Linked DNA regions of Oryctolagus cuniculus. The protein of the gene in region 4 purifies or fractionates together with the protein of the main gene of each other region. This does not show direct contact. Links are inferred from orthologs where the notes say so. Each region holds a gene or a part of one and is shown on either strand. Other genes may lie near its edges. The genes, in order: SF3A1, CHERP, SF3A2, DHX15, SF3B3, TFIP11 and FUS.

Region 1 (3,642 bases), on a different chromosome or scaffold from region 4:
TAAATCAGAGCTCCCCAAATAACATACCAGGGACATTTTTTCCATCATCCTGAAGTTTCCGAGGTAGGCAGACTGGGGGCCCATCCCAGGGAGATAGACAGTGGAGACACAGCAGCAAGTCTTAGCGCTCCGACCAGGCATGATCAGGTCATCTAATTCTCGTGTGTCTCAGTCCTTCTCATCACCCACCCAGAGGGCAGAGTCTCCATCTGGGGCTAGTATTTCTTCAAGCTTCTCTAACACTTGCTGTATCTCCCCTGTTAACTAAGAGAATTAGTCTCAGGAAACTTGCGGCTGAACATTGACAGTATTGTTTTGTTCTCATTGTATTCACTTTTGCTTACCTTTTGTTATAAAGGGTTACTTCAAGAAGTAATATGTATCTTCCTTTTTTTAAACAGAATTTTCTTCTGACTTTGTTTATTTAAAGATTTATTTATTTATTTGAGAGGCAGAGGCAGAGAGAGAGAGGTCTTCCGTCCATTGGTTCACTCCCCAAATGGCCGTACTGGCCAGAGCTGCAACAGTCCAAAGCCAGGAGCTTCTTCCGGATCTCCCATGCAGGTTCAGGGACCCAAGGACTTGGATCATCTTCCACCACTTTCCCAGGGCATAGCACAGTGCTGGATCGGAAGTGGAGCAGCTGGGACTAACTGGTGCCCATATGGATGCTAGCACTGCAGGTGGCAGCTTTACCTACTACACCACAGCTCCAACCCTGTCTTTTTTTAAAAGACAAAAGCAGGGGTGGGTATTGTGTCATAGCATCTCATATGGACGCCAGTTCAAGTCCCAGGTATTCCACTTTGATCCAGCTCCCTGCTAATTCACCTAGGAAAGCAGGGATTGGGCCCCTGCACTCACATGGGAGACCTGGAAGAGGCTCCTGGCTTCTATCTTAGATCTGGCCCAGCCCTACCCATCGGGGTCACTTGGGGAGTGACCTTGCGGATAGAAGATCTCTCTCTCTCTCTCTCTCTCTCTCTGATCTTCCTCTCTCTCTGCCTCTGTGTGACTGCCTTTCAAATAAACAAAATGAATATTTGAAAGGTAAAGAAGACAAAAGCAGTAGCGGTGGAGGTTTTGGAAGTGGCTGAATTGGCTGAGGAGCAGAACACGATGGAGGGCCGGGGTGCACTGTGGTGGAGTCGTCGGCCAGGAGGCCCTGAGGCAGATGGCATTGGCCGCTGGTGCCTGGAGGCTTGAGGGGCCAGTGTTTTGTGTCTGAGCAGTCACAAGGGTTCTTTTTCCCTCCTTCCAGAAACGGGCCTGAGTTTGAAGCCAGGATACGACAGAATGAGATCAACAACCCCAAGTTCAACTTCCTGAACCCCAATGACCCTTACCATGCCTACTACCGCCACAAGGTCAGCGAGTTCAAGGAGGGGAAGGCCCAGGAGCCCTCAGCCGCCATCCCCAAGGTTATGCAGCAGCAGCAGCAGGCCACCCAGCAGCAGCTGCCCCAGAAGGTTTGGAGCTCAGCCCCCACCCTACACTTCCCCGGGGCCAAGAGGGAGGTGAGCACGGGGATGGGTGCATGATTAACTGTGCGGTCCAAGCTGTTAGCCACCTTACACAGGTAGACCCGTAGAGTCTCTCCGAGAGGTCCCAGTGACAGTTGGCATTCCCTGAGCCCTGCTCCCCAGGATCCACGATCAGTGCCCTAGGAGCCGTGTCAGTGACTTCCCAGGGGTTGCGTGAGGTCGGCAGAGCGATTCTTTGACAGTTGAGGGTTTGGGGGGTGTAGCTACCCAAGGCTTTGACCGTGAGTGCTGTGGTATGGGAAGGACCTCCTACCTGGCTTTGCTGAAGGGAGCAGTGGGGCCTGTGGGGCCCTCCTTGTGCCATCCCTTCCCTTCAGTCTTTCCCAGGGCCCTCCCCTCTGACCGCCGTGCTGCCAGCCTCCCTGCGCTGGGCTCAGGAGGGACTGTTAAGTTGTGAATGAAGACGGGAAGGGCCAGCATGCTTTGCCTCCTGTGTGGAACCGGACTGGTCCCTTCACCTTGCTGTACTCCGAACCGTGGTGGAGAAGACAGCCCCTTGTTTTGTAGTGGGATGTAAAGGCTGAAGTCGGGTTCTAAAACCTTGTGTTGCAACTTCCTGCTCCGAGGGCCTCAGGCTGCCTCCGCGTCCTCATTTGTAAGGAGGATTCACGGTACCTGGTGTATCGCCTTGTGGTTCATGTAGAGCTAGAGAAGCACTTGCCCACTGGGATTCCCTGCGTGTACGTGGTCCTTAATGCATTTCCATCCCCCTGCTCTAATAAGCCACGTTCCTGTCAACTCTTCCACCACCCGTTTTAGCCCTCGGTTTCAGGGCAGGAGCAGAGTTACAGACAGCTAGTTAAAGCTGTTCAGGAAGTTGAGGCCACAGTTGGCTGAGAAATTGATGTTCTTTTGAGTGAGAGCACTCTCATGCCAAACACCAGTGCTGTGTGCGTGAGAACGGACACACAGGGCCCACAGCTCTCCTGCTCAGGCGTGCTCCTCCCCGCTCCCTGGAGCCAGTGCACCCTGCGCCTTACACTCCTTCTGGGTCTTAGGTCCAGGCTCAGGTGATCCAAGAGACCATCGTGCCCAAAGAACCGCCTCCTGAGTTTGAGTTCATCGCCGACCCCCCTTCCATCTCAGCCTTTGACCTGGATGTGGTGAAGCTCACGGCCCAGTTTGTGGCCAGGAACGGGCGCCAGTTCCTGACCCAGCTCATGCAGAAGGAGCAGCGCAACTACCAGTTTGACTTCCTGCGGCCGCAGCACAGCCTCTTCAACTACTTCACAAAGCTGGTGGAACAGTACACCAAGGTGCTGTGCGGGAAGGGGGGCGTCTCACCTATGGGAGCACTCAGTCCACCGGGGCATGGCTTCTCTGTGGGGCAGCTGAGCAGACCAGCTGAAGAAACGTGACATCTGTAGATTGATTCAGCTTTTCCTTTAAATGCAAATCAAACTACTTTTTCTACATAGAAGTGTGCCTGAGTTCAACGCCAGCTCCAGCTCGTGTCTCCTCTTGCTAACGCAGACCCTGAGAGGCAGCAGTAGTGGCTCAAGTACTCGGGCCCCGGCCACCCGTGTGGAGACCTGGGTTGAGCTCCTGGCCTAGCTCTGGCCATCGTGGGCATTTGGAAAGAACCAATGGGATAGGAGCTTCCTTTCTGTCTCTGCTTCTGAATTAAATAAATTATTTTTTAAAAAGTTGTATCCTAACAATACTGATAATTAAAATCATCAGATCTTTAATTCATTGCAAAGGAAATCAGTAACGATTGGTTTTCTTGTTACATTTTTAAAGAGATTTGTATATTTGAAAGAGAGAGCGAGATCCTCCATCCACTGATAGACTCCCCAGATGGCTACAGTGGCTGGCCGTGGGCCAGGCAGAATCTAGGAGCTTCTTCCAGGTCTCTCCTGTGAGTGGCATGAGCCATTTTCCACTGCTTTTCCAAGCTGGTAGCAGATAGCTGGGTTGGAAGTAGAGCAGCAGGGACTTGAACAGGTACCCGTATGGAATGTTGCATTGCAGGAAGTGGCCTTATCCTCTGTGCTACCACGCTGGCTCCACTTGCTACACTTAGTGGAGGTTGTTTTCCTTCTCATTTCAGGGGGTGATCTGCACATCTGTTCTTGGTATCTACCAACAATGTATT
Region 2 (3,642 bases), on a different chromosome or scaffold from region 4:
CGGCTGCAGGGTCCTGGACGCCGCCCGCGGAGTCGTAGTCCGAGGAGCCGGGCATCTGGATGGCTGGCTTGCTGTCGTCTGCATCCGGGCGAGAGGCAGTTAGAGCGCCGCCAGCAGGAGGCGCTGCAGGGCAGGGGGCCCTCAATGCCCACCCAGAGCCAGAGCCAACCGGGCCAGGGCCTCTGCTTCCGAGTGACTTCCAGGAAGGGGGAGAGCACGTGCGGCTCCTTGGAGCGGCTGCTATGGGCGCTGGTTAAATAAACACCTGGGCCTATCTGGCAGGGGGCCGTCTCCCTGTGGAATCTGTTCCCGGGCTTCCTGGCGGGGCACTGCCCTGGCGCTCCCGGGACGGCCGCGTATTACCCCGGGGCTGGGGTCCCGCGGATGCTGGGAGATTTTACTGGCCAAGCAGCCTTAACCCGAAATCCAACTCTTCTGAGGCTGCGCGATGCTCAGAGTTCCAGGTGTCGGGTTAGGGGCGTCCAGGCCGCACCCCCTGCCCCCCGATTCTCTGCGGTTTCACTCGGTGTTAATCAGGACCGCGCCCCCCGCGCCACGCTCGCTCAGCACCAGCGCCGCGTCCTCGTCCCAGACTCTCTTCTCCAGGACAGTGCACAAGGAAGGAGTTGCGGGCGTCCCCTGGCCCGGGACCACAGACCCTCCCAGGACAGCCCACCAAGGGAGCCGAGGGGGCGAGGGCCGCGCACCGGGCTGGGTGGCTGCTGGGGTGGCCGGGGCCCCGGGGCAGCCCGCCGAGGGGGCCGGGGGCCGCGCACCGGGCTGGGTGGTCGGCGGCAGGGCTGGAGCCGGGGCGGGGGCCGGAGGCGGAGCGGGCGGCGGCGGCGTGGCCTTCACGTCGGCCTCCATCTGCGGCATCTGAAGCTGCGGCTGCGGCTGCGGCTGTGGCGGCGGCTGCTGCTGCTGCTGGGCCAGGCTGTTGACGAACTCCTCGTGCTGCGTCTTCAGGGTCTGGATCTGCTGCTGGAAGGCCAGCTGCACCGGCTGCACCACCGCCGAGTACTCGGTGATGAGCGTGGCCTGCGAGAAGGGCGCCGCCGGTCAGGGACCGGGGCAGGCGGGCGGGGCTGCCGCTAGCTGGACACGCCCCCGGCCCTCCTCGACTCCCCACGTGGAGGACGGGGGTCAACGCGGAGAGCTCAGCCCCCAGCCCTCCAGGGAGGCACGGCCGTGGGCCCAGCTCCGAGTCCGTGAGCTGTCTCCACACGCCCAGCCTGGGACCACTGTGACCCCACTCCAGAAACCGAAACAAACAGGCAACACCGCGTCTGAGCTCCCCCAGGCCCGGGCAGCCGCCACAGGCAGCCCCTCGGAGCTCGCCGCACCTGGTACTGGCCAAGCCCTAGCGCCGGGCTCTGCAGCTGCTGGATGATGGAGTCATCGAAGTAGCCGTTCTTCTCCCAGAGCTGCAGGAGCTGCGGGGCAGGAGGGGGAGGCGGTGAGGGGCTGGCGCGCCCTCCCCGGCCGGGCCCCGCCCCGCCCCCGGCGCCCACGGACCCGCGCGATCTTCTGTTGCTTGTCCTCCTCCACGGCCAGGAAGCTGGTGCAGTAGATGGGCACGACGACCTTCTGCAGGGCGGCCAGCAGCTCCCGGGCCTGCTTGCGCTGGCTGTGAGGGAGAGACCTTCCGCGCGTCAGGGCCCTGGGACGGGACCCGGCCACGCGCCCGTTACCATCGCGGCTCCGGCCACAGCACCCTCTGCCTTTTCCGGGAACGGCCCCCAACCCTGCGGGGTGACGGCTGCGCTCCCGAGGCCGCGAGGGGAGGAGGGAGAGGCTGCAGCCCGGGCCGGCCGGAGCCAGGCCTCTCCCCCAGCTCCCCGTCCCTCCTGGGGTGGCCGCGGGGCCTCGACACAGCCCCGAGTGTCCACACAGGGTGCCCCGGGGCCGGGGGGGCAGGGCCACGTCCCTGTCACTTGCTGTGCACGAGGCAACACGCGGCCGAGCCTCTTGGAGGGAAGGCAGGGTAGCCACTGACCCTCAGGCCTCGAGGACCCTCTGGCCACGGGCCCAGTCCCGTGTCCTCAGGGCCACTGAGCAGCACTGGCCGGGGACGCGCTGTGCGCCGCAGTGCACGGGGGAGGGGGCAGCAGGGTGGTGGCTGAGCCAGGGAGGGACGCAGGGCAGGGGTGAGCGGCTCCACCCCCAGTGCTGAGCAAAGGGCCGGGGGCCGGGAAGGACGGGGAGGGGAAGCGGCCCTCGGCTTCCGACGAAGGGCGAGAGGCCTGGCCCGCAGAGGCGCCGGAGGGAGCTGGCGGTGGCTGCTCATTTCCCGCGGTGGAGCCAACACCGTGCTGCACAGCACGGGGGACCTGGGCTGGGATGCGTGGGTGACAGGCCCGGCCAGCTTCTGTCACACTCATGGGGGGCCCTGTGGCTAACTCGGCCCTCCCCGCCAGCCCAGCCACGCTCGGAAGCTCTCGCACGCATGTGTCTCTCACCAGCCGAGCCCTGCCCTGCCCAGGTGTCTGGTTACTCTCGTTAACCTTCGCCAGAGACACGCAAGTGGCCGGCAGCGCCGCGCAGGACGGCGGTCAGCCCAGGGGCCCCGAGGGGCGTGGCCGAGTAGCCAGGTGACTGAGTGGGCGTGGTCGGCCCAGGGGCCCGGCACTGAGGCTCCCCCCACACCCCCGGGGCCAGCCGCGCCGGGGGGCGGCGGCGCTCACCAGTGGTGCAGCACGTCGTTGATGAGGTAGATGAGGTGCAGCCGCAGCTCGAAGTGCGCGCCCTCGGCCGTGATGCGGCTGCGCAGGTGGCCCGCCATCAGCTCGCAGTGCGGCGGCGACTTGGCGTTGCTGAACATCCAGTTCTTGCCGGCCTGTGACAGCCGGGCTGCGGTGAGCGGGGCGCGGCAGGCCCGGGGCTGCGCCCGCCAGCCCGCACCCCGGCGCCGCCCTCACCGAGATGGCGTCCTTGGTGCACGTGTCGATGATGGGCTGCAGCAGGCTGTCGAACTCGTTCATGTCCAGCTGCGTCTCCTCCAGCAGCTTCTGCATCTGCTGCTCCACGGCGTGGGCCACGGCCGCCGTGACCTGCTCCTGCGGGGCGGGGCGGGCTGCGTGAGCGGCAGGGGGACCGCCCGCTGGGCCACCGTCACCCTCTGGGAGCAAGGCGCGGGCGGCAGTCCCAGCAAGGCCGGCAGACATCTGGGTCCTGACCTACAACCTCACTAGCGTTCGGGGGTCTTTGCCCTTCAAGGCAACGCCCTCTCATCTCAGGAGGACTTAAGAAAGTGGACGGGCTGGCTGTGGCTCCCGGGAGGGACAGGGCTGTGTGAGCAGGGCCCCCGGCCTGGCTCAGGACGGTAAAGCCGCCTGAAGCACCAGCATCCTATAGGGGCGCCAGTTCGAGTCCCAGCTGCTCCTCTTCCCATCCAGCTCTCTGCTGTGGCCTGGGGAAGCAGTGGAGGATGGCCCAAGTGCTTGGGCCCCTGCACCCACGTGGGTGACCCGGATGGAGCTCCTGGCTCCTGATCAGCCCGGCTCTGGCCATTGCGGCCATTTGGGGAGTGACCCAGCGGATGGAAGACCTCTCTCCCGCTCTCTCTCGTTGTCTGTAACTCTACTTCTCAAATAAAGTTGCTTTTGGGACAAAGGCATCCCGAGACCCAGCCAGCGTCTTTTC
Region 3 (4,138 bases), on a different chromosome or scaffold from region 4:
CCAGGGCGGGGCGGGGAGGGGGCGCCGTGGGTCCGAGGGAGGCGGGGGGCCCTACCTTGAAGGCGATGGTCTCGTAGGGCTCGGCGGCCATCAGCAGGTACTGCCAGCGCCGGTCCGGGGGCTCGATCCTCTGCTCGTAGGCCGACATGAAGCGGTGCCGGGGGGTGATGCCCTCGGCGATCTCGGGGTAGTCGATCTGCGGGCGGGCAGTGTCAGGGGCCCCCAGCCCCCACTGCCCCCCGCCCCCGCAGCCCCCACCCGGCCCCGCCCCCGCGGCCCCCCCCCCGACCCCGCGGCCCCGCCCACCTGGAAGAGCAGGCTCTGCTGGCCCATCTCCGTGTCCCGCTGCTTGGTCACTGCAACACCAGGGCCGGTGAGGGGCCCCCCCGCAGCCCCACGTCCCGCCCAGGGCGGCAGGTGAGGCCCAGGTCCCAGCTCAGAGGGCCGGCCCAGGGCTGCACGCCACAGCCCCGCCTGCCCCTCCGTGCCCAGGACCCCGCCTGCCCACAGCCCCACGGCCTCGCCTGTCCCCGCCTGCCCCTCCCTGCCCAGGGCCTCGCCTGTCCCCGCCTGCCCCCCCCCCCCCGCCCAGGGCTGGTGTCGGGCGGCCCCGCCCCCTCACCTTTGTAGCCAGGGCGTCCGATCTTCACGAACTTCTTCACCTCCACCTTGACCTTCTCGGGCGCGGGCTGGGCGGGCGCCTCCTTGGCCTCCTTGGCTGCGCGCCGGGCCCTGGGGCGGGGCAGACGGGCGCTGTGGTCCTCCACACCAGGCCAAGGCCACGGGCGCAGGTGCAGGAGCCCCCCTGCCCGGCCTTGGGCTCCCGCGGGGGGGGTGAGGGGCGGGGCCCTGCGGCTGGGGGGCGGGTCAAGGGGCCCTCCCCCGTGTCACAGCCGGGGGGCGCGGGGGGCACTCACAAGTTGGTCTGATGCTTCTTCCCTTGAGTGTGTGCGAGGTAGCTGCCCTGCGTGGAGGAGGCGGGACATGAGGCCGGGGGCGGGGCCAGGCCGGTGGGCGGGGTAGCGGCAGGCGGGGTGGGGGAGGACCAGGCCGAACAGTGGACAGGGCGGGAGGGGGGGACCAAGCCGGCCGGGGGGTGGGGCAGCGGCAGGCGGGGGTCAGGCCGGGGGCGGGGGGATCAGGCCGGCTGGGGGCGGGGCCAGGCCGGTGGCAGGCAGGAGCGGGGGACCAGGCCGGCCAGTGGACAGGGCGGGAAGGGGGGGGATCAGGCCGGCCGGTGGAGGGGGGGGGCCAGGCCGGCCGGTGGGCGGGGCGGGGGCGAGGGGTTCAGGCCGGCCGGTGGGCGGGGCGGGGGCAGGCAGGGGCGGGGGCAGGGTACCAGGCCGGCCAGTACCTCGTTGTTGTGCAGGGTCAGGCACAGCTTGCACTCGTAGGAGCCCAGGTGGTTCTTCATGAAGTAGGGGTCCTGGGGGAGAGCGGCGCGGGGCGTCAGGGGCGTCAGGGGCGTCGGGGGCGTCGGGCGCGTCGGGGGCGTCGGGGGCGCCCCGCGGGGGGGCGGGCGGGCGGCCCTACCTTGTTGATGTCGATGGTCTCCAGGGCCAGCTGCCGCAGGCGCTCGCGGCGGTCCCGGTTGCTCTCGGAGGAGGAGGCCACGCCCCCACTCCCGGTCTTGCCGCCGGGGCGGTGCTGGAAGTCCATGGTGCCGGCCTGCGGACCTCAGCGCCGGAGAAGCCTGCGGAGCCCAGACCGGGGGGGGCCCTCAGGACGCGGCGGGGGCCGGAGACCCCAGGAGGCAGCCCCCAGCCCCTCCCGGGCGCACCCACGCGGGCTCTCCCGTGTCAGCCGCCGGGCCCAGCCGCGGGCGTCGGGGAGAACGGGGGCGCGGACGACCGCCTGGCGCCCCCCCGCCGTCCACTCCCCAATGCCCCTAAGCCAGGGCTGGGCCTCCCCGTGGACGGCAGGGGCCGCTCGGGCCCCATTCGGGCACTGGCCCGAGTCCTGGCTGCCGGCCCGGGCCCCGCACCTGCTCTGACCCGGCCCGGCCCGGCCCGGCCTCCGGGGACTGGACCGGCGGGAGGAGACCCCGCCCCTGCGACCCCGACTTCCGGGCACGGCGCGGGCGGCCCGGCTGACCCCAGGGCGCTACCGGGCCCGCCCGCGGTCCACGCACGAGCCGCCCCCGGCTGACCCCAGGGCGACCCGGGCCCGCCCGCGGTCCACGCACGAGCCCTGGCGGCCCCACAGCCCCTCCATCGGGACGCGAACCCAGGACCTCAGGGCTGGGGGAGGGGGAACCACGCGAAGGGACAGTCGGACAGCGGACCGAGGGGAAGACGCGGCCCCGGGCACGCAGGCTTGCGGGAGGGAAATCTAAGACGCAGCCGCATCGCCGTCCGCACCCGGGACGCCCCGCAGCCCCCCGGGCGCCCGCGACCGACCCCCACGACGACAAAGGCGCCAGCGGGGGCGGCCTCGGGGGTCCCGGCGGCTTTTGGCGGGAACGCCGGCACGCACCCCCGCGCGCGGCCCCGCGGCCCGGGCCCGCCCCGCCGAGCAGCCGAAGGCCCGCGGCCGCTCCCCGGACCCCGGAGCCCGCCCCGGACGGACGCGAGACCCCCGCGACCCCCGCGACGCCCGCCGCGGAGTTCCGGAGGGCCGGGGTCGCCGTGGGGCCCGCCGCCCGCCCCGGCCCCTCCCTCCCGCGCCCCCAGCCCACCCTGGGCGCCCCGGGGCCCCGATGGCCCCCGCGCCTACTTCGTGTGGGTCGCGCCCCGCGTCGCAGGCCTCCGCCGTCCGCCTCAGGAGCCGCCGCCACGACGTCGCAGTGCGCACGCGCGGCGCGGGCGCTCGCAGCACTTCCGGAGGGAGGACGGGCCCTCGAGTGTGCGCATGCGCGTGCCCGAGGCGCGCCTGCGCACAACGCGCTCCGCGCGCGCACCCGCGTCGGCTCTTGGGGGCGGGGGCGGGAACCGGTAACGCCCCGTCCGCCCGCGCTCGGCGGTCCTTCGATCCTGCTTGCGCCTCAGACCCACTTTATTCCGCGGCTGTGTCGCGGCTGCCCGGCGTGTACCCACGCCCCAGCACGCCGCGGTCGCAGCGCGCAAGACTCGCCCGTGGCGCGCAGGCGCAATGGCGCTTCCGGGGCTCCGACCTGGGATCTTTCTGGCGCGAGCGGGGACGGCGGCCGAGAGGGCTCAGAGCTAGCAGCGCGCGTTCCCGGTCCCGGGCAGCGCCGGCGCCATGCGCTACAACGAGAAGGAGCTGCAGGCGCTGTCCCGGCAGCCGGCCGAGATGGCGGCTGAGCTGGGCATGCGGGGCCCCAAGAAGGGCAGCGGTGAGCGGGCGCGGGCGCGGGCGGGGGCGCGGGGGCGCGGGGGCGCGCGGCCGCCCTGAGCCCGCTGTGTGCCCGCAGTGCTGAAGCGGCGCCTGGTGAAGCTGGTGGTGAACTTCCTCTTCTACTTCCGCACGGACGAGGCCGAGGTGGGCGCGGGGCGCGGGGCGCGGGGGCGGGGCGCGGCGCGGGGCGCGCGGGCGCGGGGCGGCCCCGCTCACGGCGCGTGTGCCCGCAGCCCGTCGGAGCCCTCTTGCTGGAGCGCTGCCGGGTCGCCCAGGAGGAGGCGCGGAGCTTCTCCATCGGTGAGTGCGCGGGCCGGGCGGGGCGGCGCGGGCGCGGGGCGGGCGCGGGCACCCACAGCGGCCGCTCCCGCAGGCTTCCTGGAGGACCCGGAGAGGAAGTACGTGTTCGAGTGCGGCAGCGAGGAGCAGTGCCGGCAGTGGACGGAGGCGCTGCGCAGGGCCAGGTGGGGCCGGGGCGGCGGGGGCGGCGGGGGCGGCGGGCGCGGCGGGCGCGGCGGGCGCGACGGGGGCGGCGGGCGCGGCGGGCGCGGCGGGGGCGGCGGCCTGACCCCGCGGGCACGGCCTCTCCCGCAGCTACGAGGTCATGCGGAGGAGCCTCATCTTCTACCGGAATGAGATCCAGAAGATGACGGGCAAGGTGCGGGGGGCGCGTGCGGGGCGGCCGGGCGGGCGGGGCTCCCGGCCCCGGGCCCCGGGTCACCGCGTCTCCCCGCCCGCCGCCCTAGGACCCCCTGGAGCAGTTCGGGATCTCCGCGGAGGCCCGCTTCCAGATCAGCAGCCCGCCCAGCGACGGGCGGCCGGCGGGCACCGGGCCCGGGCC
Region 4 (3,642 bases):
TGGGCCAAGGCCGAAGCAGGATCCTGAAACTCCATCCAGGTCTCCTGCATGGGTTAACAGGACGCAAATACTGCGACCGTCTTCCACTGCTTCCCCAGGAGCATTTGCAGGGAGTGGGATCAGAAGTGGAACAGCTAGGAACATAACTAGCACTCAAGTGGGATGTCAGTGTTGCAGGCAGTAACTTAGAGCACATACCGGCCCCAGTAATATATTTTTATGGCATATCTTACTAGTTTCTGATCCTTTCTTTTGGCATATTAATTAATTTATTTATTTGAAAGAGAGTTTCAGAGAGAAAGAGAGTGCTTCCATCTGCTGCTTTGCACCACAGATGGCTGTAAGGGCTGGAATGGGCTGATCTGAAGCCAGGATCTTCCAGGTCTCCCACATGAGTACAGGGGCCCAAACACTTGGGCAATCTAATTCTGGATTCCCAGGCACATTAGCAGGGAGCTGGATCAGAAGTGGAGTATCTGGGGTTTGACCCAGTGCCCATATGAGATGCTGGAGCCATAGGCAGTGGCTTTACCCACCATGCCACCGTCCTGGCCCCTTTTAGCATATTTTTGTAACTGTTGCTCACCTTGTCTTTCATCCCTTCATTACGTACAAGAGGGCTCATTTCTTTAAGCAGTGTCTTTGTTGCTCAGATTCCTGTCATCTCAGCCCTCAAAATCACTGATAACGCTGGAACAACTACCAGGACAAGCACTCATCAGAAGGACATTTGTTTACACTTGTGTCTTCCTTTTTTTTTTCTCTCTCCTATACCGCTTAGATCTTGGCCAGGGTTGCCGTGTTAAGGGTTTAAAGCTGACTGAATATTTTCTGACATTATCTTATCAGTCCTTTGACATATAATTTCATAAGTGGTTTTTTTTGACAGAGTGGACAGAGAGATAGGTCTTCCTTTGCCGTTGGTTCACCCTCCAATGGCCGCCGCGGCCGGCACACTGCGCTGACCCGAAGGCAGGAGCCAGGTGCTTCTCCTGGTCTCCCATGGGGTGCAGGGCCATCCTCCACTGCACTCCTGGGCCACAGCAGAGAGGTGGCCTGGAAGAGGGGCAACCAGGACAGAATCTGGCGCCCCGACCGGGACTAGAACCCGGTGTGCCGGTGCCGCTAGGCTGAGGATTAGCCTGTTGAGCCGCGGCACCAGCTAGTTTTGTTTTTAAAATTTTATTTATTTATTTGAGAGGCAGAGTTACAGACAGTGAGAGGAGAAGCAGAAAGGTTTCCTTCCATTGGTTCACTCTCCAAATGGCCACAACGGCCATAGTTGAGCTGATCTGAAGCCAGGAGCCAGGTGCTTTTTTCCGGTCTCCTACGTGGGTACGGGGGGCCCAAGGACTTGGCCCATCTTCTGCTGCTTTCCCAGGCGAAAGCAGAGAGCTGGATTGGAAGAGGAGCATCTGGGGACTAGAACCGGCGCCCATATGGGATGCTGGTGCTGTAGGTGGAGATTAACCTACTGTGCCACCATGGTGCGGGTCCCCAAGTTTTGGTTTTGAAAGTGTTGGTTCATGTAAATTTACATGTTTAATGTTTTACTTAAAATTTTTAAATAATTTGTAATAAATAACATAACTTGCTGTAGTTCAGGCTTTTCTGCATTTGATATTTAAATCACAGTGTATTTGAAATTTTTAAGCTTTATAATAGATAACAATGAAAATATTTTTACCTTTACTATTCTGTTTTTTGAGACCATGTAAGAACCCTTGAAGACAATTTCAAGTAGTTTACTGTTTTCTTTCAGGTGATAGTTATGAGTGCTACTCTGGATGCAGGAAAATTCCAGATTTACTTCGATAACTGTCCACTCTTAACTATTCCTGGGCGTACACATCCTGTTGAGATCTTCTATACTCCAGAACCGGAGAGAGATTATCTTGAAGCAGCAATCCGAACAGTGATCCAGATTCATATGTGTGAAGAGGAGGAGGGAGATCTTCTGCTTTTCTTAACTGGTCAAGAGGTATTGTCATTGTTTCCTTCGTTAATAGCCTTTGACACATTTCTATCAAGCAGCGGCCTTGATTTAGATATTAACTATATTTTTCTTATCCCGTTGTTTGAAGTTTTTCTTCAACCTGATTGTACTAACATATTAAACATGACCCTTTTATTTATGTACTCTGGGAAATTTTTTTTTCTTTGGCGACTGATTGTGTTAATTATAGCAAGAGTGTTAAGTGCTTTTAGAATTTCAGGATTTAGCAGTTGTATCAATTTTGATGCAGCCTGGGTTGTGTTATTTTGCTGATGCATGAATTGGAATCCCAGCTCCTGTAAAATCATGCATTTCTTCAATTCAAAATTGGTTGTTTTGGTTATGAGTGAAGTTAGGTGTCCATCCACCCTCAAAATGTTTGTCTTCTTTTTGTTCGTTCTTTTGCATGTGCTGAGGATTGAAGGGATCAGTGAAGTTTCCTAGTTAGAACTTCATTTTTAGACAACAGATTTTCATGTGTAGTAGCTTTTCTTTTTTCAGAAGTTTTTCATTTGAGAGGTAGAGTGACAGAGATATCTTCCATCTGCTGGTTTACTCCCCAGATGGCATTAAGGACTGGGCTAGGCCAGGTGGAAGCCAGATTTCAGGAACTCCATCCTGGTCTTCCACAAGGATGGCAGGGTGCCAGGTACTTAAGCCATCTTCATTGTTTTCCCAGGCACATTGATGGAGAGCTGGATAGGAAACAGCAGCAGGGTTTTGAACTGGCAGTCTGATATGGGATGCTGATGGCTGCTTCACCCACTAGACTACAGTGTTTGCCCCACAAGTGTACTATTTCTATTTTTTTTTTTAACAGGCAGAGTGGACAGTGAGAGAGAGAGACAGAGAGAAAGGTCTTCCTTTGCCGTTGGTTCACCCCCCAATGGCCACTGCGGCCGGCGCACTGCGGCCAGCGCACCGCGCTGATCCGATGGCAGGAGCCAGGTGCTTTTCCTGGTCTCCCATGGGGTGCAGGGCCCAAGTACCTGGGCCATCCTCCACTGCACTCCCGGGCCACAGCAGAGAGCTGGCCTAGAAGAGGGGCAACCGGGACAGAATCCGGCGCCCCGACCGGGACTAGAACCCGGTGTGCCGGCGCCGCTAGGTGGAGGATTAGCCTAGTGAGCCGCGGTGCCTGCCTACTATTTCTATTTACAGCAGGGCATTTATAGGTATGCTATTAAATTCTTCAAAGGCTAAATGCAAGAAAAGCTATTTGGATAAAACAACATTTTAGGAAACCATTTCATAGAGATTGTTATGAGCTTTTTTTCTTTTGATCTCATGGGCCTTGTGAATTTTCCAGAATATAATTTTTTCTTTTAACTATTTCTTTGTTTGAAAGGCAGTGTTACAGAGAGGCAGTGGCAGAGATAGAGTGGGTAGCAAGAGCGAGCTTCTATCTGCTGGTTCACTCCCCAGATGGCCTCAAAGGCCGGAGCTGGGCTGTTCCAATGTTTGGAGCCAGGAGCTTCCTCCAGGTCTCCCATACGGGTGCAGTCCTTGGGCCATCTTCTGCTGCCTTCCTATGCCATAGCAGAGAGTTGGATTGGAAGTGTAGCAGCTGGGACTCCAACTGGCGCTTATATGGGATGTTGGCACTGCAGGTGGCAACTTTATCCGCTATGCCACAGTGCTGGCTC
Region 5 (3,642 bases), on a different chromosome or scaffold from region 4:
AGGGGTCAAGGGGACAAAAGGATATCTTCCAATCACTAATTCACTCCACAAATCACTTTAAGTCAAGGGTAGGCCAGGCCAATGACAGCAGCCCAAAACTCAATCCAGGTCTCCCACATGAGTGGCAGGGACCAAGAGCTTGAGGTATCATCTGCTGCCCTCCAGGATGTGCACTAGCAGGAAGGTGGAATTAGAAGCACAGCCAGGACCTGAACTCAGGCACTCTGATATAAGATACAGGAATCTGAAGCACAACCACCATGATGTTGACTGTTTACAACTATTAATCTTTTAAGATTTATTATTTTATTTGAAAGGCAGATTTACAGAGAGGGAGAAAGACAGAGAGAGAGAGAGCGAGAGAGAGAAAGTCGGAGTCTTCCATTCACTGGTTCACTCCCTAAATGGCCACAATGGCCAGAGCTGTGCCAATCTGAAGCCAGGAGCTTTTGCCAGGTCTCCCACACGGGTACAGGGGCCCAAGCACCTGGGCCATCTTCTACTGCTTTCCCAGGCCATAGCACAGAGCTGGATGGGAAGTGGAGCAGCTGAGACTGAACTGGTGCCCATATGAGATGCAGGCACTGTGGGCGGCAGTTTTACCTGCTATGCCACAGTACTGGCCCCTCTATTAATCTTTTAAAACTGGTGAATTTTGGCCACAAATTGCTGACTGCTTTATAGACAGTAAACAAGGGGTCAACTCAGTGTGTGCCTTATCTCCGCTGTGCGCAGTTAGCACTCAGGCTTCCTGTAGGACTCATGGGCACTGGAGCATCCCTGAAACAGGAAAGCCCTAGCAGTTCTCATGTACTGCCAAAAGATGGGTTAGAAACAACAATGGGTGAGAGCTGTGGAACAGCAGGTTAAGCTACCACTTGGGTTGCCTATATCTCACATCAGAATGATTGGGATTGAGTCCCACCTCCAATTCCAATCCAGCTTCCTGCCACTCATGTGGAAGACTTAGATCAGCTTTCTGGTTCTGGTACGGCTCAACTCTCGCTGTTGCGGGCACCTGAGGTAATGAGTTAGTGGATAAAAGATTTATCTCTCTCTCTAGTCCTCCTTCTGTTGCTCTGCCTTTCAAACAATTTTTTTTAAAAAGGAAAGAATCAACATACTGACCACAAGGCGAACTGACTCATAACACCAAAAAACTGTGGGAGAATTCAGTAGAATCTAATAACCAAGACAATCACAGGCTAGTTCCTTACCTTGTGCAAAAACTCCAATTTTTCTCCATTGTTAACAAGTTTGTAAGTATAGACAAAGCCTCCTGCCACAGATCTTGGGTTCAGAATCAGGTCCTTGGCCACACCCACCAGCACATACCAGTCTTCACCAGTGTTGGAGAACCTGCACACAGCCACACTGCACACAGAGGAAAAAACAGGAGTCAGGCCTCAGTCAAAGCCAGAGAACTCACCAAACCTTGGACTGTCCTGAACCCTTTACCTAAAGGCTGCTTCATTCTGTTCCAGCTGGACAAGGTCCAGGGTGTTCCCCTGAATAGGATTCATCACTCGGATCACAGATGCCCACTGGCCATTGCCAGCTTTGGGAGCTCCAAAAATGGATTCCGGCAGGTTTTCATTGAGGAATGCTGCTGCCATCTCCGCAGCCAGCTCCCGCTCATCCTCCCCTGCTGCTTCCACCATCTCCTAAATCCAAAAAGCAAAGGAACGTCAGTGTGGCCAGGAGAGAACTGCATGGGAAGTGGAGTAATGAACACTTTTCAGACTCAGCTCCTGCTTAACATTGCAAGACTGTCACAAACAAGGCTAAGAAGGAAGAATACTGAAGAGAAAAGCAGTTACCACCAGTTACATACAGCTACATATTAGAAGAAAATACCCAAAAAAAAAAAAAAAAAAAAAACAAACAAAAAAAAAAAAACATTAGCTGTAGCAAACATCAAACTAGAAGTCTACGAAACAAACATGGGGCAGCAATGTGGATCATGGGTTAAGCTGCTGCTTGCTCTACCCCATCCTTTCCTGAAGCGCTAATCTGAGTCCCAGCTACTCTGCCTCTGATCCAGTTTCCAGCTAATGTACCTGGGAGGCAGTGAAGGATGGCTCAAATATTTGGGCCCCTACCACCCACATGGGAGACAGGACAGGGATCCCGGCTCTTGCCTTTAGCTTGGCCCACACCTGGCTGCTGGAGCCATTAGTAGAATGAACTAGCAGATGGAAGACCCTTCTTTCTCTCTCCTTTTCCCTCCCTGGCTCTGCCTTCCAAAATTAAATCAATCTTAAAAAATAAAAATTAAACATGAAAGCTCCATTTTTTTTTTAACCTAACCTACCTGACTTCCCTTGCTAGGACTACTCATGTTTCAGAATGAATACAGTTCTAAATGTTTGTGGCTATTTGGTTTTTCCTGGGAAATGATTTCTACAAGTGGTGTTGTAGGGAATCTAAAAGCTGTCTCCTAGGGGCTCATATCTAGGAAAAATGTAACAACTCAGTTTGAAACCCACGGACTGACTAAAACTGACTAAAGAACTCTTCCAGAGGAGCAGCTGGAATTTCAAATAAACCCAAGTCAGCGTATTAGTCCTGGATCACAGCAAAGCCTCTAAAACCAAAGAGCTTAAAGAACTTCAAAAATTTTACAGAAATAACAAGGAATATCATCAACAATTACAGGAGTTTCAACTTCAACACAATTTTACACATGCACTTTTTAACCAAACCCCAGAACGTCAGTCCTATTACCTCCGCCATCTGCTGCTTCCTCTGAGCTTTTGTGGCCTCAGTGTAGGCATTGTGGTCTGTCTCAATGATGATAAGGTTGTTACTCTCAGGATGGATGACAAATTTCCTGGGGGTGTACTGCAGTGGAAAGGCTACTTGATTGAAGACAGCACCAAGCTTCTCCAGCGCCAAAATCCTGTGACAAAGGCCAAGGGGGTTAACTCAGGACCTGGGAGCCATTAGCAATGAAACGAGCAAGCACAGCAGCCCCTGAGACGTCAGCAAACAGCAGCGTTCTAATCTAAAAGCAGTCTACAAATAAAACAAGGAGATCGACACCCCACCACTACTCACGGGGATTCTGGGTTTTTAACCCAATAAAACACATATAATGATTATCAAAGAAATTTTCTGTCACTCCAATAATAATGGGACAGTGAGAATATTTTAATTATCATTGAGAAACCTGGAAAAACAACTCAAATAGTTATCTGATTATAATGGTGGAGTTTTAACTGTCGTATATATATTCACTAAAAGGGAAAAATCTTCAAAGAGAATGAAACAGAAGATGACAGCAGATATGAAATGCCAAATAAAATTTTGGAAGCTGAAAAAACATGTGGAGCCAGTAACAAAATGAGCGAAGAGTTAAGACAAGATCTCAGATTTCCCAGATGCATCAACAAAGAAAACAGAAGCCAAATGTAACTTACTCAAATAACAAATACTTTTTTCTAGACTTATTCACACACATGTGGAATAACACATGTATCAGAGTTTTCACTGCAGCACTGTTCAAAGCAAAACAGCACCACCTAAATAAAGAATACCTAAAATATGGCATATCCATTTTTTTAAAAAAAAATTTATTTATTTTATTTGAGAGAAAGAGTTACAGGCAGAGAGAGGGAGAGAGACAGAGAAAGGTCTTCC
Region 6 (3,642 bases), on a different chromosome or scaffold from region 4:
TTTGCTGAGTCAGCCCTGAGACGCCCCACTGCAACACAGCCTGTAGCACAGGTTTGCAGCCCACCCCACTGCAACGCGGCCTGTAGCACAGGTGCGCAGCCCACCCCACTGCGACATAGTCTGTAGCACAGGTGCACAGCCCACCCCACTGTGACGCAGCCCCTGTCGCACGTTCGCATTTCCTGGGTTGCACAACCACCCTAGTAAGCAGTTGGATTCTTCCTGCAAGAACTTTTCCCCGGGCAGTGACCGAGGGTGTAATTAAGAGTGAAGCCTGTGGTTCCAATTCCAGTCTCTTTTTAGTAGTTGGCGTAAATCTGTGTTGTGTTGAGAACACGAGCATGAGTGAGGCAGGGCTGGTGACCGGGAGGAAGAGTGAGACTTCCCCAGCGCTAGGTGGGAAGCAGGGAGGGGAGCAGTTTTTGAAAAGTTGTAATCCTGTCTAAATCCTTTTATGAGAGAAACAACCTGCACGAGTATTTCTGGGGCTTCAGTGTGTTTCTGAAAAGCTCAGTGTGGGGACATCAGCTAAGAAGTGCAGCAGGGGCGGCGTCTTGTGCCGCATCTTGGGCTGCCGTTGTGGGGCAGGGGTAAGCCTCTGCTTGCAACACTGGCATCCCACGTGTCCTGGCTGCTCCACTTCCAGCCCAGCTCTCTGCCAATGTGCCTGGGAAAGCTGCAAAAGGTGACCCAAGTCCCTGGGCCCCTGCTGCCATCCACGTGCGAGACCCAGGTGGAGTTTCAGGCTCCTGGCCTTGGCCTGGCCCTGTCTTAGCCGTCGCAGCCAACTGGGGAGGAAGCCAGTGGATGGAAGATGTGTCATTCTCTGTCTTTCACATAAATAAACGCCACATCTCCATGAAGTGCACCTGTACTTCAGAGTCCGTGGGTACATGTTGTCTGAATCCCTGCACTTTGCCTGATGGAAGCTTCCAGAGGAGTGAAGCGGGGAATCGAGTGTGCCGGCGCTCTCTGTGATAAGTGATTTGTGCTTTCTCCCATCCACGGTGCAAGCCTCTGGTTGGGACATGAGTTACGTGAGGTCAGCAGGCTGTTGTGTGATCACATAAGTGCTGGACGTTTCCAATGGCCTGGGCCTGGGCAGGGCAGGGCTCTCCTTGCTGGGGACCGTGCTGCCTGTTGAGGGCAAGGCTGCTTGACATCCCCGAGTGGTTTATTCACATGAATTGCTGCCGTCTGAGCTCTCTGTCTTCTGACAATCGACAGGCATCATAAACCCCATCGAAGCCAAACAGAGGAAGGGCAAGGGAGCCGTGGGGGCCTACGGCTCGGAGCGGACCACGCAGTCCCTGCAGGACTTCCCCGTGGTGGACTCGGAAGAAGAAGCCGAGGAGGTGAGTGGAAGGCAGGCCTCGGTGTCCTGTGCCGTGGCGGGCGGCCGACTGCTCCTGCGTTCTGTCAGGCCTCGTGCTGTCCGGGCTGGGCTTCGAGCCCGTTGGATGGAGACACACAGTAAGCCAGCAGCTCCACGTGCTTAGGGATGCAGGCTGTGCTGGAGACGAGGAGGTGACAGGAGGGGCAGGGAAGGGGCGTGGCCCAAGTGTAAGGCACAGGCTGGGACGGAAGTGATCTCTGATCTCAGGAAGGAAGGAGTCCCACTGAGATGTGGCTCAGGGAGGGGTGGGGCGGGGGTTGGAGGCGTTTGGGTTTCACCCAGAGTGCAGGAGGAGCCACCTGCTGGCAGCTGTGCTGCTGACAGAAGGGGTGGGGCGGCTCTCCACAGAGAGCGGGAAGGCAGGCGCCGCAGGGGAGCGCCTCGCTCGTGTCGTCACCAGCCTCCTCGTGAGCAAGGACACGCTGGACAGTGTGGAAGTGACAGGTCTGAGTCGGGCTCTCAGGCTTCAGAGCTGACGGGCGTGCACGCCACGAGCCAGGTGCCAGGCTGTAGGGGGTGGTGGGGACTCGGGCACACAGCTGAGGACGTAACTTGTGGAAAGCCGCTGTTCGTGTTCGGCGCTAGGCACTTGTTGCCATGACAACACGAGCTTGGGATTGCCTGATCTGATTCCCCCAAAGCCAGCAGACGTCCAGATAGTGTCTGAGAAAATAAATTATGTGTGTAAACCAGTGTGAGAAAAGTGGAGGGACAGCCACACCGTCAACTTCTGAGGGCTGCGCCGTGCCATCCTCAGGCCGGCTTGCTTCCTCACTTCTCTTCAGATCTCCCTGCAGAGGGGTTTTATACACCCGAGTGTCAAGTGGATCCTCACCTTGAGACTTGTTTATCATTTTAATCAGAACCGAGGCTTGGGGTACTCCTGAAGTCCTTCCTGTTGCATTTCTGAGTTTCGCACGCGCTCAGTTTCACACCAGCAGAGCCTGCCCACAGTGATGCCCAGCGGGGTGGCCTTATCTCTGGATCTCCCAGCAGCACGGGGCTGCTGCCCCGCCTTCCGAGCCTCATTGTCTGTAAGAGGCTGGGTGGCTGCAGCGTCACAGCCTTGGTGTGGAGTTGGGGTGAACGTGAGAGGCTGCCCTGTGGTGTCAGTGGTCTTCGTCCCACAGGCTGTGGGAAGTGCTGTTTCCTGTGTGACCAGTGGTTTCCCTGGGGTTTAGGAGTTTCAGAAGGAGCTGAGCCAGTGGAGGAAAGACCCCAGCGGAAGCAAGAAGAAGCCCAAATACTCCTATAAGACGGTGGAAGAGCTGAAGGCCAAGGGCAGGGTCAGCAAGAAACTCAGTGCTCCCCAGAAGGAGATTTCGCAGGTCAAGGTACGGGGCTCCGGACATCGGGTTCAGGAACCACAGAAAGCAGTCCCACAGCCCAGAGGCCGCCCCTCACTGCCTATCCCTGAGCTTCCTGGGGGCTTCAGGGCCTCGTGCGTGGAGAGGGCAGCGCTCCTACTGTGGCCCATGACAGTGCCACGCTGCTCTCGTTACTCTAGGTTTAGTATGATCATCCAGTTACACTCCGTCAGTTGTTCCTCACGGCAAGGGGTGATGACCTTGGTCACATCCCCATCACAGCAGTGGTGACCCAGGTCACATCCTCGTCATACACAGTGGTGGTGACCTTGGTCACACTCCCATCACACACAGTGGTGGTGACCTTGGTCACACTCCCATCACACACAGTGGGGTGACCCAGGTCACGCCCCCGTCACACATAGTAGAGGTGACCCAGGTCACGCCCCCGTCACAGTGGTGGTGACCTTGGTCACGGCCCCATCACACACAGTGGTGGTGACCTTGGTCACGGCCCCCTCACACACAGTGGTGGTGACCTTGGTCACGGCCCCATCACACACAGTGGTGGTCACCCACGTCATGCCCCCATCACATACAGCGGTGGTGACCCAGGTCACGCCCCCAACACACAGTGGTGGTGACCCAGGTCATGCCCCCAACACACAGTGGTGGTCACCCACGTCATGCCCCCATCACATAAAGCGGTGGTGACCCAGGTCACACCCCCAACACACAGAGGTGGTGACCCAGGTCACGCCCCCGTCACACCCAGTGCTTCCCCAGGGTGTGCATTAGCTGGAAGCTAGAATTAGAATCAGAACCTGGACTTGAACTCAGACACTCTAGGAGATGAGGGTGTCCCAGGTAGCAGTTGAACCGCCGCAGGGAGTTCCTGACCTAACGTGAGCAGGTGCTAGCTCCTTACCGCACGTCCCT
Region 7 (4,177 bases), on a different chromosome or scaffold from region 4:
AACAGTACGAAGTCTGTGGGCTTGCCTAGAGCAGAACCCCTGTATCTTATCTGTCTAGATGCTCAATCTACAAAGAAATGTCTGGAACCCAGAGCAAAGTTTGGTTGGGAAGGAAAATCTACAGTCGCACATGTACCAGGAATAATCTTTGTCTGATTTGTTGGAAAAGATTCAAATCCCCCTCCCTAGGCAAAGCTGATCAGAGTGCAAGGTGCAAGTTAATTTGAATTTTGCCCCCCCCCCCCCCCCGCCTTCATTCTCACAGGAAACGGAACAGGCTTTCAAAATTCTATAAATAGTTCAGGTAACCAACAAAGACCTAGTGGTGTAGTGACCTGGACCTGGATTCGAATCACTGCCCCTCGCTCAGCTGCCTGTACAAACACGGATTGCGCAGGCTCTCCCAGGAGCTTCGCTTTTCTCGTCTCTACAATGGAGATGCCTTTTTTACTTTCTTCACCGGTTTTTGATGAGAAGGATGTAAAACTGCGCATGAAACTACTGAAGTCGTATGCCAATGCATTATCCCCAGTATCTCCACGCGGGTTCCGCGGAAGGGCTCAGAATGAAGAGTGTAGGTCGTCGTCGGGAAAGGGGCGGGGAGGGGGGACCCGTAATCTGATAACGGCAAGGCTAGCTGGGGTCGGAGGGGGGCCCGGGCTTTCCCGCCCCACGGTCCTCCAGGGGCAGAGCCACGAGGGTTCTGCCGATCGCTCCGCGCTGCATGAGGGCCCAGAGATCCAGGCTCAACTCCATGCTTGCTTTCCGGTCAGATGTCACAATCTATAAACCCCACTGAGGACTAACGCAGAGGCACCCTCAAGACGCTGAAGCGAAAGCCGAGACGCAGGGAAGGAGAGGGTCGCTGCGATGGCTGAGGGAGCAACGCTACAGCTCGCAGACAGGAGGGTGGCGCCCTATGCGGCAGAAAGGCAGCGGAGGAGGGGCTCGCCATCCCGAGTCAAAGTGAGGCCCGGGCGAGAGGGGCCAACCAGAGGAATCTCGGTTCCCACACCTCGACTCCCGGCCTTGACTACGGTTCCTTCCGCAGACGCCCGGGGCCTCGGCCCCGCCTCTAACGTAATCAGACCGTACCATGTCTCTCTTATAGGGGTAGAGAAGAATCGTAGGCTAGGCCTGCAGAGCGAAGGTGAGCTATTGATCAGAGAAAACATGATGATATATATTCTCTTATATGTATTAGTTAGTTTTTTTCCTTCTTTCTGCTGGGACCCTCGACCCTCCCCGGAAGGTGGTAGGAGTCCGGCCCTGCTTCCCCCCTTCGTTTTCGGCGGTTGGTACGTCCCCCCGCGGTACGTGGGCGGGGAGGCGTACATAAGCCTCGACGCAGGAGGCGGGGCTGCTCAGTCCTCTAGGCGTCGGTGTTCCGAGGTGTCGGAATCTTGTTGCTTGGCGGCCTGTGCGCGCGTGCGCGGAGATGGCCTCAAACGGTATGTAAGGGCGCGAGGCAGCGGTGGCGCGCCGCTCCGGAGGGCCTGGCTTGCTCTCTCCTAGCTGGGCTTTTGATTTTTTTCAGTGGGGCCAGGGCGGCGATCGCGTGTAGGATATTTTCGAACCCCTGTGGCGGGAAGCCCGCGGAGAGGGGCGGAAGGGGGGGCGGGAGGCTGTTGTCGCCATTTTGTTTTGCTCCTCTGGCGCGTTTCGTGCGGGGCGGGAAGTCTTCCCTCCGTTCCCTTGGATGAGGTGGGGGGAGGACGCTTTTCAGCGAGTTCGAGTCTGTGGTAGCGGGCGGAAATGCCCAGGTTCCCGGGCCCCCCCACCCCCTCCACGCCGCGCTCGGGCCCGCTTTGTCGCAGTGCTGCATCCGGGCACTCGGTGCGCGCACGCGCCTTGCGGGCCCCTCCCCCGTGCTCGCGGCGCCGATCCTCCCTTCCCAGCCTCGTGTCAGGCCGGCTTTTTGTCGCGAGACCCTCGGTAGCGGACTCGGCGGCCCGCCTCCGGCGTGGGCCTCGCCCCTCAGGGTCCCACGGGAAGGGGCGGGACCGCCGCGTTCCCGCCTCGGTTGCCACGCGGCCGGGGGCGGATGCTCGGGATCGGGGCCGCGCGCCCGGCCTAACGGTTGAGGGGGGCGTCGGGGAGATCCGCCAACGGTCTCGGGGGCCGAGTCCGAGGGTTTTCCCGCCTAAATTTTCTTTTTCCCCGAATTGGGAACGGGCGTCCGAGGCCACACCCTTCCCCGATCCCTTTGCCGTTTCCTGCGGCGGGAAGCGCCTGGGTTCCTGGACTGAGGGCAGGAGTTGATCTCGCTGCTGCGTCTCGAATGTGACGTCCTAAAAGCGCTTTTCGGTACCTTTTGGGTTGCGGCGGCTCCTCCTGTCTGAGAAGTCGGCAGGAGTCGATGAGAGCCTGTTGGAGCCCCAGGCCTGGGGACTTGAGCACTGATCGAATTGATGAGGGGCCTTGTCGTTTGGCGTCACAGGACCTCTGCTTTTTGGTTGCTTGGCTTTGCTTTAAGACTCCCCTCTGCTTTTTCTCCCAAGATTGGCCAAGGGGCGGAGAATGGCTATTGTTTTTTGGTGCCCACTTAGGAACTCCGTGGCCTTTGTCATGGAGTGGGTGTGACCGGGACAGGGATGGGACAGGTTTTCTAGCAGTTCCTCAAGCGAGTGGAGTTTGCATTGAGAAAGAGTCTGGTGGGGCGTTGGTGGCCAGCAGGGCAGCAGTAGGCTGGTGGGTTTCCTGGCTCCGATGCCCCAGTTCTTGGGTTAAGGAATAGACCTGGCAACCCCTTTCTTGACCCTAACGTTGATTGTCTTTTCTCTTCATCAGACTATACCCAGCAAGCAACCCAAAGGTGAGTGCCGTGTCTGGGCTTCTAGAATTCCTAGCGGGCAAGGGTGGTTGAGGTCATTTTCTTGACTGCACCCTTTTTCTTCTTTTTTCTTTTTCCCCTGCAGCTACGGGGCCTACCCCACCCAGCCTGGGCAGGGCTACTCCCAGCAGAGCAATCAGCCCTACGGACAGCAGAGTTACAGCAGCTACGGGCAGTCAGCAGACACTTCAGGCTATGGCCAGAGCAGCTACGGTTCTTCTTACGGACAGACCCAGAACAGTGAGTCTGTCTTGGGCGGGGGGGTCACTCTGCCTTGAAACCCTAAGCAGTGCTGAAGTGGTGAATCTCTCATGTTTTTTCCCCTTTAACCCTAAAACTTCTTGGAGTCTGCAGTCTTTTCCAGTGAAAATGCTTCCTTCCTTGCTTTTAATCGTTTCCTTTTTTCCTTTGACTTTTTGTTTATGCTGTACCTTTTCTCTGTTTCCCTGCTAAGCATGAGGGCATACTCCCTAAAGAGAGTGCCAGTCTTAGGCTGATTCTTAGTGGAGAAAATGGTCTTCTTGTCTGAAGTCCCATTACTGGGCATCACGGGATACGCCAGGAGAAGGAATTTGCCCCCGAGTTCTGAAGTGAAAATAATTCATGTGGGTTTTCTTGTGTATGGTGTACTCATACCAGCATATTAAAACGTGGTTGACACAGAGGGATATTTTGAATAAGATTCCAGTCTTGGAGACTGGCTTTAGGATAGGTGGAATAAAATTGGAACTGTCTTTAAAAAGTCAGTAGGAGTTAGAACATTAACCTTAGAGTTCAGAAGAATGTCCTTTCCCTGGCTGGGAGTTGCAGGATTTACTAGCAGTTGCTAAGAGGTATGGATGAACATAGGTAGAGTATGTTTTTTTTTTTTTTTTTTCAACCCTTCCCATGCCTTTGTTTCTTCATAGCTCTCGTGACTCCCTTGCTTTGTTTTTCTTCGTAGCAGGCTATGGCGCTCAGTCAGCTCCCCAGGGGTATGGCTCAACTGGCGGCTATGGCAGCAGCCAGAGTTCTCAATCATCCTATGGGCAGCAGTCTTCGTACCCTGGCTATGGACAGCAGCCAGCTCCCAGCAACACCTCCGGCAGGTAAGGTGTTTGTGTGCCCGCAAGATGAGGGGTGAATTGCTAAGGAAAGAAGGCAGAGCACTAGGAGCCATTAGGAGGCGCAGTGTGTGGTGGGGGAAGGGAGGCCTGTGTTGGTAGGGAGGAGGGGATGTGCTGAAAGTGAAAGGAAGTTGTGGGCATGCCGGGGTTCTGATTTGCCTGTGTGTTTCCCGTAGTTACGGCGGCAGTTCTCAGAGCAGCAGCTATGGGCAGCCCCAGAGTGGGGGCTATGGCCAGC

Evidence for each region.
Region 1: the proteins of DHX15 (region 4) and SF3A1 purify together in Homo sapiens (co-immunoprecipitation; 5 studies listed by BioGRID and IntAct, with this or other methods). This does not show direct contact. The link is inferred for Oryctolagus cuniculus from reciprocal best matches to the Homo sapiens genes DHX15 and SF3A1.
Region 2: the proteins of DHX15 (region 4) and CHERP purify together in Homo sapiens (co-immunoprecipitation; 3 studies listed by BioGRID and IntAct, with this or other methods). This does not show direct contact. The link is inferred for Oryctolagus cuniculus from reciprocal best matches to the Homo sapiens genes DHX15 and CHERP.
Region 3: the proteins of DHX15 (region 4) and SF3A2 purify together in Homo sapiens (affinity purification with mass spectrometry; 4 studies listed by BioGRID and IntAct, with this or other methods). This does not show direct contact. The link is inferred for Oryctolagus cuniculus from reciprocal best matches to the Homo sapiens genes DHX15 and SF3A2.
Region 5: the proteins of DHX15 (region 4) and SF3B3 purify together in Homo sapiens (co-immunoprecipitation; 4 studies listed by BioGRID and IntAct, with this or other methods). This does not show direct contact. The link is inferred for Oryctolagus cuniculus from reciprocal best matches to the Homo sapiens genes DHX15 and SF3B3.
Region 6: the proteins of DHX15 (region 4) and TFIP11 purify together in Homo sapiens (co-immunoprecipitation; 4 studies listed by BioGRID and IntAct, with this or other methods). This does not show direct contact. The link is inferred for Oryctolagus cuniculus from reciprocal best matches to the Homo sapiens genes DHX15 and TFIP11.
Region 7: the proteins of DHX15 (region 4) and FUS purify together in Homo sapiens (affinity purification with mass spectrometry; 4 studies listed by BioGRID and IntAct, with this or other methods). This does not show direct contact. The link is inferred for Oryctolagus cuniculus from reciprocal best matches to the Homo sapiens genes DHX15 and FUS.

Annotation. Positions count from the first base shown.
Region 1 is NC_091452.1:23,653,074-23,656,715, reverse strand, and holds part of SF3A1 (splicing factor 3A subunit 1), read left to right. Parts: intron 1-1,261; coding exon 1,262-1,469; intron 1,470-2,542; coding exon 2,543-2,800; intron 2,801-3,642. UniProt on the Homo sapiens protein: Component of the 17S U2 SnRNP complex of the spliceosome, a large ribonucleoprotein complex that removes introns from transcribed pre-mRNAs.
Region 2 is NC_091447.1:64,914,189-64,917,830, forward strand, and holds part of CHERP (calcium homeostasis endoplasmic reticulum protein), read right to left. Parts: intron 3,057-3,642; coding exon 2,919-3,056; intron 2,837-2,918; coding exon 2,685-2,836; intron 1,661-2,684; coding exon 1,516-1,660; intron 1,434-1,515; coding exon 1,344-1,433; intron 1,039-1,343; coding exon 708-1,038; intron 79-707; coding exon 1-78. UniProt on the Homo sapiens protein: Involved in calcium homeostasis, growth and proliferation.
Region 3 is NC_091447.1:59,110,311-59,114,448, reverse strand, and holds the start of SF3A2 (splicing factor 3A subunit 2), read right to left. Parts: upstream 2,872-4,138; 5' UTR 2,716-2,871; intron 2,092-2,715; exon of another isoform or gene 1,985-2,091; intron 1,694-1,984; 5' UTR 1,660-1,693; coding exon 1,534-1,659; intron 1,427-1,533; coding exon 1,355-1,426; intron 965-1,354; coding exon 918-964; intron 733-917; coding exon 623-732; intron 357-622; coding exon 307-356; intron 197-306; coding exon 56-196; intron 1-55. Other genes in the region: PLEKHJ1 (pleckstrin homology domain-containing family J member 1), read left to right, coding at 3,202-3,295, 3,374-3,441, 3,531-3,597, 3,671-3,761, 3,892-3,955, 4,044-4,138. UniProt on the Homo sapiens protein: Component of the 17S U2 SnRNP complex of the spliceosome, a large ribonucleoprotein complex that removes introns from transcribed pre-mRNAs.
Region 4 is NC_091433.1:19,757,220-19,760,861, reverse strand, and holds part of DHX15 (ATP-dependent RNA helicase DHX15), read left to right. Parts: intron 1-1,762; coding exon 1,763-1,981; intron 1,982-3,642.
Region 5 is NC_091449.1:56,650,796-56,654,437, forward strand, and holds part of SF3B3 (splicing factor 3B subunit 3), read right to left. Parts: intron 2,903-3,642; coding exon 2,728-2,902; intron 1,665-2,727; coding exon 1,459-1,664; intron 1,375-1,458; coding exon 1,218-1,374; intron 1-1,217. UniProt on the Homo sapiens protein: Component of the 17S U2 SnRNP complex of the spliceosome, a large ribonucleoprotein complex that removes introns from transcribed pre-mRNAs.
Region 6 is NC_091452.1:20,273,403-20,277,044, reverse strand, and holds part of TFIP11 (tuftelin-interacting protein 11), read left to right. Parts: intron 1-1,227; coding exon 1,228-1,355; intron 1,356-2,577; coding exon 2,578-2,730; intron 2,731-3,642. UniProt on the Homo sapiens protein: Involved in pre-mRNA splicing, specifically in spliceosome disassembly during late-stage splicing events. Intron turnover seems to proceed through reactions in two lariat-intron associated complexes termed Intron Large (IL) and Intron Small (IS).
Region 7 is NC_091450.1:6,013,740-6,017,916, reverse strand, and holds the start of FUS (RNA-binding protein FUS), read left to right. Parts: upstream 1-1,336; 5' UTR 1,337-1,438; coding exon 1,439-1,451; intron 1,452-2,790; coding exon 2,791-2,815; intron 2,816-2,918; coding exon 2,919-3,073; intron 3,074-3,776; coding exon 3,777-3,921; intron 3,922-4,115; coding exon 4,116-4,177. UniProt on the Homo sapiens protein: DNA/RNA-binding protein that plays a role in various cellular processes such as transcription regulation, RNA splicing, RNA transport, DNA repair and damage response. Binds to ssRNA containing the consensus sequence 5'-AGGUAA-3'.